Linked DNA regions of Sus scrofa. The protein of the gene in region 1 interacts with the protein of each later gene in a biochemical or structural test. Links are inferred from orthologs where the notes say so. Each region holds a gene or a part of one and is shown in the gene's direction. Other genes may lie near its edges. The genes, in order: YWHAB and ZFP36.

Region 1 (3,805 bases):
ATTCATTTCTGGCTCATAGTTCTCTTGCCGTGCATCTTGGTGATAGGCCATCTCTTTCTGCAGCTTGTACCCCACACACAATTAGTGCCTGGCCTTTGTATGTCAGGCTCTAACCCTTGCACAGCGCCTTCCCCCGGATTAGGCCGCTTGCTCTCACGGCCGCCCCGGGAGGGTCTGTAATGTTCTTATTCTCCCGTTAGGAAACGGAAGCTTTCAGGGGCTGAGTGATTTGACCAAGGTCATACCACTTGTAAGTAGCGGAGCGGGTGCCAGAGAAAGCCACATCTGCTGCCCTTGGTCTGTGCTCTTGTGGACAGTGTGTCCTTGTGACCAAGTTGGTGAATTGCAGAAGCTAAAATAGAAATGGCTCCTGTTTTCTAGGTACCTGCTGCTTGATAGGCCCTGCCTGATAGAACCCTGAAAGTTGTGTCTTTTGCTTTAAGATTGATTGAAGCTGGAGTTCTCTTGTGGCCTTTGCTCAAAACCAGACAAGTCTCAGAAGAAAAGGACATATATTTAACACAAGTTTCTAATGATGTAGGCAGTCTGTGTGTATTAAGGAGGCAGCTTAGGAGAGTGGAAGGAAACAGCTGAGAGACAGAGAGACCTGCGTTTGAGCTCTGGCTTTCCCACCTCGTATGGACCCTTGGGCACATCACAGCCCTGGCCTTCTCTGAACCTCCATTTCTTTACTTCGAAAAAGGGGAAAGGGATTGTGAGCATCTCTCTCCAGTAGGACTGCTGGGAAACGAAAATGACCAAAACAGTAAAAGCACCTGAGCAAAGCACTTAACCCTGTAAGCCCCGTGGTCAATACCATTGAGGACGTTGGTAGGAAATGTTCCCCATTTAGGTATGTTTCTTTCTGGAAGGGTCAGAAGATTTGCACGTGCATCTCCCAGGCCCTGAAGCCTGACATTTGCTTTCTCTCCCTCTTGCTCCTGGTCTAGGGAATGACCATGGATAAAAGTGAGCTGGTACAGAAAGCCAAACTCGCCGAGCAGGCTGAGCGCTATGATGACATGGCCGCGGCCATGAAGGCAGTCACGGAGCAGGGGCACGAACTCTCCAACGAGGAGAGAAACCTGCTCTCCGTCGCCTACAAGAACGTAGTCGGTGCCCGCCGTTCTTCCTGGCGTGTCATCTCCAGCATCGAGCAGAAAACAGAGAGGAACGAGAAGAAGCAGCAGATGGGCAAAGAGTACCGTGAGAAGATCGAGGCAGAGCTGCAGGACATCTGTAACGATGTTCTGGTAAGAGGCCAGCGTTTCTGTCCTACAAAGGATTTCTGATAGTATTCATTTAATGTACACATGCAGACCTTCAAACAGCTCAGGAGCGAAAGAAAGGTGTCTGACTGTACTGGAAAGCCGCACACCATTTGCAGCTCATTTTTAAGCATCTAAAGTGATTTTTTTCCCCCCCTCTCACCTCTTACTGATCAGAGGTTGCTCATCACTCATGGGGTACTTTGCTTACCCTTCCAGAGACCCCTGAAGAACAGGAGCACTTGGTCAACATCCCTCCAGCTTTGCTTTAGAAATCGAGGCCAGAGAGGCAGGATTTTTGATGGGTGCAGCCTCGGAGAGGCAGTTCTCCGTGTTGGCCTGAGTGGCGATGCCGTCCCCAGTCAGGGAGAGAGGAGCAGAGAGCTGACTGCCCGCCGGCCTCTCCCCGTCAGGCCTGCACTGTGGAAAGTCCTTTTGGAAAGTTGGGCGCCTCCGTCAGGTGGGGCCTGCGTTCCAAAGGCAGATCCGAAGGGGTCTGGGGGGGATTCTCTCCCCTGTGTTTTGTGTACACCTCAGGCAGATGCTTGACTCCTCACGCGCTCACCTGGGCTTGGAAGGGAGGGTGCGGATCCCAGAGCAAATCATGGCCATGTTGTCTTTCCCTCGCATCCTGAGCCCACTGGCACCTTTCTTTGTCTTCCGGGTGAAATCAGGTAAAAATGAACGGTGAGGGCCGCTTTGAAGAGAAAAGGAATTCACACGTGTGGATCTGCCTCCTCCCCTGCTGGCTGCCTCTCCGAGTCACTGCCCATGACACCTTTCTTTTGAAAACCAGTATAGAGCTTGTCAGCCACCAGGCAGTGCTCCTCATCCTTAACCCATGAGGAGTCACACCCTGTCTGTCTGCAAAGAATATTAAAACGACTACTGCCCCCTGCATCCTCTCACTTTTGATGAAACCCCCTTACAGCTAAGCTTTTGCCTTGAGCTGCTCTTTTCTGTTAGACTCTCGGTGGTGTAAGTGTCGTGGCTGAATTTGTTGCCCGTTGGTAATTGGGGGGGGGTTGTTAATGGTGCCCTAATTCCTGAATGTTAGGTCCATCTGGTGTTCAGATGAAGTATGGCATGCATTCCAGAGGCAAGAAAAGAAAGTTCCCTAATTCCTGAACTGTAGACCAGCTTATAAGAGCATCTGAGAGAATGTGAAGAAAAGCATGGTACTTACTGCCTCTTAACCAGTTTTTCAGGATGCCACATTCTAAAACAACTCTTCGAAAATATTGCTCTGTATACGAAGCTTGGACTCCTTCAGAACTGCTTTTGTTGTAAGCATAAATGTTTAAAGGAATTTATTATTAATAATAGTATTAGCTACTTTTGGAGTGCTTACTACGTGCCAGGCAACGTGTTAAGCGCTTTCTGAACCTCAGCTCATTTCTTCTCCTGACTGCTCTAGGAGCTGGCTTCTGGGCTTCCTCATGCCGTGACGAGGAAACTGAGGCTCAGGGCGATGAGGTCATTTGTTCAGGGTCATGCAGTTAGTTGGCGGCAGAGGAGGGATTTCTACCCAGGTCTGACTAATTCTAAACTTTCTTCTTTTTTTTTTCCCAAAATGGAAAGTTTTTTTTTTTTTTTTTTTAACCTCCTCTAATTACAGAAATAAGTTCATTGTTTTAAAAAGCATAGGGCAGAAGAGTATAAATAAATAAGGAAATGAAAAATCACTTCTAATCCTACCACCTAGAAAACCATTAACATCTTGGTAAATATCCTTCCAGACTTTTCCCCTAGGTGTTTGTGTGCGTGTACACATACGTGTTTTAATATTAAATTAGATTCGCATGGTATTCACGATCTCCTTTTTTTTTCCCACTTAGACTTGTTTGTGAGAGCCTTTCCACGTTAGCAGTGTAGTTCTGCATCCTCGTTTTTAATGCCTCTGTAGCATTCCATTGTGTGGCTGTACTTTAATCAACCCCTTATGAATGGTCAGAGTGATTTTTAATGAATGAATACAGGCATCTGTTATGACCTGGGCTAAAAATCATTTAAAAGCTCTGGATAAAAATTACGTTTTTTTCAAACTTCCAAAAAGACATTTAGGAGTGGTAGTGTGAATCTTGAGTCTCAAACATAGTTTGAACATCTCGTAAGTAATATTTCCAGATTCTTAACAGAACATGAATCATTTTTTAGGAGCTGTTGGACAAATACCTAATTCCCAATGCTACACAACCAGAAAGTAAGGTGTTCTACTTGAAAATGAAAGGAGATTATTTTAGATATCTTTCTGAGGTGGCGTCTGGAGACAATAAACAAAGTAAGTAACTTTTTTATTTTTTTAAGTTTTTGTTTTGTAGTCAGAAATTTAAAGAGCCACAGCACCGTGCTGACCGATGATGAACGGGGTCCTGGGGCTGGACAGCTGTATCTAAGGAGCAAATGTGAAGGGCATGAGAAGTCTGGTGCAGTGATGCATTTAAAGAGTCCTTCATTTTAAGGATTATTTGGTAGTTCTCTTTTATTTTTATTTTTTAGCTTTTTAGAGCTGCATTCGCAGCATATGGAGGTTCCCA
Region 2 (4,259 bases), on another chromosome or scaffold:
CTACCCCTCTTATTTTCACTCAGGGCAGCCAGCTCACCAAGACCCCCTTTAAAAATTAGTTTTTTCTCCTTATCTTGAGCTTCATGCAGGGCAACCCCTTGACAGTAAAAAATTTGCCAATAGGGGGAGTGATTTGTGCAAATTTAGCGTTCTCTCAAGGCACGTCCCTTTTTCTTGAGACCCATCCGACTATTAGCTGATGATGACCCACTTTTTCCACCTCCAGACGGCTTTCCACCAAGAAAACCCTCCACCATAACAAGAGATCTCCAACCTTTTCCTATCTTGAGCTTCTCGGAGTGCAAACTCGTAACATAATTCAAGGCCCTGTTATTAAGCTGTTGTCATTTACTAATTGGAGAATAACTTGGCCTCTCTGTGCCTGGGTTTCCTTGTGTAGAAAATGGGCATAATACCTCCTTGAGTTAATGTACGTAAAGCACTTTCATGCCTAACCCAGAGGTAGCGGTTAGAATTGCCATTATATATTTGAGGGTGAGAGGTCACAGAAGCCCTGGAACTGGGGAAAGAGGCCCCTTTCCAGCCAGGTGTCGGGGCAGCGCTCCTCCTACCCTCGTGAGTGGGGCGGTACAGGTCTTGGGACCTGGATAATTTGGGAGCGAGACCATGTCAGGCTGGCAGGTCTCAAAAGAATTCTCCATCGGGCCTATTGGTCTCTTCATCTTGCTCCTGAGAATTTCTGTTTGTGGATGTTTATTTCTCCCCCCCTCCCTTCTCCCTTTTTCTCTGTTTCTTTATGTGCCCCCCCCCCACTTCTTGCTCTGAATTTGCCGTCTGGGACCGTCTATATCTCGTCTTTTCTATCTCTGCCTCCCCACCTTCCTTCTCTCTACCCCCTCTCCCTCTCTGTACCCGTCTCCCCTCTGTGTGCGTCTCTGTGTGTGTGTGTCTGTCTGTCTCCCAGTGTTTGTCTTTTTGCCTCCCTCCATTTCTGTCTTTTGCACTCAGTGGGCCTCTCCCCGCCCCCGTCCGTTGGCCTCTGCCCCGGTCAATTCCCCCAGGGGCCCTGCCCCGCCCCCACCTCTGTCCCAGTTCCCTTCTCCGCGCCTCAGGCTCCAGCTTTGAAAACTGGGCCGACACCCCTCACCCCACACACTCCCCGCGGGGTCGCGATCGCCCGCGGACCCGGATCAGGCAAGTCCCGGCCCGCAGCCGGGCGGAAGGGGACTGGTCCTGGGCCGGGCGGGCTGTGCTGGGGCGGTGCGTCCGGGAAGCGCCCCTCCTGGCCCCGCCCGCCCAGGCCCGCCCCTCTCGAGGCCACGCCCCCTCCTGCTGAATAAATGCAGCCACTGTGCGGGCCCCGCTGTAGCCTGACTTCAGCGCTCCCACTCTTGGCCGGCCCCTCAGCCTTCGGCCCTCTGCGCCGCCATGGATCTCACCGCCATCTACGAGGTGAGCCCCCGCTGATTTGCACCCCGGAGTCCCCATGCCTGACTCCTTTCTCAAGTCTCACCCTCTAGCGCCGCAAACTCCCTCCCGGGACTCTGGCTCCCTTCTCAAACTAAGCTCTTTAGCGCTTCGCACTCCGGCCGGGAGGATCCTGCCTCTTCTCAGACCAGTGTGATCCTCTGGAGGTGAAAATGGAGCCCGTGACTTTGTGGTCTCAGCCCAAACACGGGTGGGCTGGCCTTCGGAAGTGGAAAGCTGGAGGGCTTTTCTCAGGCTGGGGCTGTCTGGAGGCGGAAATGGCCCCACACCTGGCTTACCCCTAGTAGTTGCTGAGGGCGCGGTTTTGCGCGGAGGCGTTTCTGGGGCTAGAGTCTCGGAGAGGGGAAGCCGACTTCTGCTTCCCCACTCCCTAACCCAGAGGACGACTCTGGGAACTCTAAAACCCAAGAGGTCCGCACTCCTGGGTTAACTTTGTTCGCGTCTCCAACTTGTGAAACTGGAGAACCCGATGAGTGTAGTCAGATCCCGAGAGGCCCAGAGGCTTAAAATTGGAAGACAGCGGTGTGTGTCCTGACTTGATCCTGCCGGGCAGCCGGGATTCCTGGGCCCCTCGGGATGAGCTTAAGTCGCGAATATAAACTCAGAACCTCCGAATCGAGATTCTTGCGATCCGGAACCCGTATTTTTTTCCTGCGGGCGGGTGGAGTTCTAGCCAGGAACCCACAAACCGGACTGGCAAGCTTTTAGGTGCTCTGCAGCTGGGGGCGGGGCGTCACCCTGTATTTTCGGTGTCTTAACCCATCCCTGTTCCCACAGAGCCTCCTGTCGCTGAGCCCTGACCTGCCATCCTCCGACCACGGAGAGACTGAGTCCAGCCCGGGCTGGGCCACCGCGGGACTGTGGAGCCTCAACTCATCCGATTCCAGCCCGGCTGGGGTCGCTGCCCGCCTACCTGGTCGCTCCACCAGCTTGGTGGAAGGTCGCAGCTGCGGCTGGGTGCCCCCACCCCCAGGCTTTGCACCCTTGGCTCCCCGCCCAGGCCCTGAACTGTCGCCCTCACCCACCTCGCCAACTTCGACCCCCACCACCTCCTCCCGCTACAAGACTGAGTTATGTCGGACTTTCTCAGAGAGCGGGCGCTGCCGCTATGGGGCCAAGTGCCAGTTTGCCCATGGCCTGGGCGAGCTGCGCCAGGCCAGCCGCCACCCCAAGTACAAGACGGAACTCTGCCACAAGTTCTACCTCCAGGGCCGCTGCCCCTACGGCTCTCGCTGCCACTTCATCCACAACCCCAGCGAAGACCTGGCTGCCCCCGGTCACCCGCATGTGCTGCGCCAGAGTATCAGCTTCTCAGGCCTGCCCTCCGGTCGCCGAACCTCGCCACCACCACCCGGCCTAGCAGGCCCTTCCCTGTCCTCATGCTCCTTCTCGCCCTCCAGCTCCCCACCACCACCACCTGGGGACCTTCCACTTTCACCTTCTGCCTTCTCTGCTGCCCCTGGGACCCCTGTGGCCCGAAGGGACCCCACCCCGGCCTGTTGCCCGTCCTGCCGAAGGGCCACTCCCAGCAGCATCTGGGGGCCCTTGGGTGGCCTGCCTCGGAGCCCCTCTGCACACTCCCTGGGATCTGATCCTGACGAATATGCCAGCAGTGGCAGCAGCCTGGGGGGATCCGATTCACCTGTCTTCGATGCCGGGGTTTTGGGGCCACCCCAGCCAACTGCAGTTCCCCGAAGACTCCCCATCTTCAATCGTATTTCTGTTTCTGAGTGACAAGTGCCTGCCCAGTACAGATGAGCTGGATCTTAAGGGGGCCATTTCTCTTGTGCTGTGGGCACCACAAGGGGTCCCAGGGCTGTGGAGAACTGAGGGACTTAATCAAGTAGCTCCCCTCACTTTCCAGAGTGCATTAACTCACTCCCCTGACCGCATGCTGGGGCAGGTCCCCAGTGTGTGAGCTCAGGTGGTCATGGTATTAGGGGGGAGGAGTGTTTGGGGTCTTAAAAAAAGATGTAGCAAATCTGAGGGAGGCAGTGAACCCTCTTCCTCCCACCTCTCCCCTGCCCAATGCTGTGAATAATAAGCCCCCCTCTGCCCCCTTCCACTTTTCCCTAGACACGGAGGTGCCAGTGTTTGATGGTTACTGGAGCCTCCCCTGAGGGGGTATCCTGGTGCTCAAATTTCCCTCCAAAAGCAAGTAGCCAAAGCCAGCGTCAACCCCCTGCTCTCCCGCCCTCGCCTTTGGGCCCTTTATTTATGACGACTTTATTTATTCTAATAGATTTTATAGTATTTATATATATTGGGTCGTCTGCTTCCCTGTATTTTTCTTCCTCTTTTTTGTAATATTGGAAACAATGGAATAATTATTGTTATAAGTAAGTATACTATAATAATATATTAAGTAATAATATATTGTTAAAAGTTTATTTTTGTGTTTTTTGGAATTTTTAAATAAAAGAAATCTGTAAGTTGGAATCCTGGCTCTTCTGCGGTCTAGAGGCGGTCAGAGAGGGGAGGAGGGTGTGGACCTTTTTAGAAGCGGGGTAGAGTCCGCCCTTAGCTCCTCCAAACCTTCCTGGAGCTGAGCCGCCTGCGGCGCTTACCTGGCAGGAAGTGACGTCACTTGCCCCGGCCGTTCACCTGAGAGGGCGGGGCCAGGTGAGGTCACCCGGGAGAAACCGGGAGAGCCAGTTCCCGGGCGTTGGTGGGGGTGGGGGGGCGCCGGCGCTCCTGTCCCGCCGGGCTCTTTGACCCAGCTCTCGGCCAGACGCGGGCGGGGACGGGATGTTTCCGTCCCTACGGGCCCGAGGGAGGAGGGCAGGGCGGAGTGGGGAGGACGGAATGTG

The links.
Region 2: the proteins of YWHAB (region 1) and ZFP36 form a complex in vitro, tested with the Homo sapiens proteins (2 studies listed by BioGRID). The link is inferred for Sus scrofa from reciprocal best matches to the Homo sapiens genes YWHAB and ZFP36.

The regions. Positions count from the first base shown.
Region 1 is NC_010459.5:47,311,370-47,315,174, forward strand, and holds part of YWHAB (14-3-3 protein beta/alpha), read left to right. Parts: intron 1-950; 5' UTR 951-953; coding exon 954-1,253; intron 1,254-3,425; coding exon 3,426-3,549; intron 3,550-3,805. UniProt on the Homo sapiens protein: Adapter protein implicated in the regulation of a large spectrum of both general and specialized signaling pathways. Binds to a large number of partners, usually by recognition of a phosphoserine or phosphothreonine motif.
Region 2 is NC_010448.4:48,062,374-48,066,632, forward strand, and holds ZFP36 (tristetraprolin), read left to right. Parts: upstream 1-1,358; 5' UTR 1,359-1,389; coding exon 1,390-1,413; intron 1,414-2,226; coding exon 2,227-3,183; 3' UTR 3,184-3,862; downstream 3,863-4,259. UniProt on the Homo sapiens protein: Zinc-finger RNA-binding protein that destabilizes several cytoplasmic AU-rich element (ARE)-containing mRNA transcripts by promoting their poly(A) tail removal or deadenylation, and hence provide a mechanism for attenuating protein synthesis.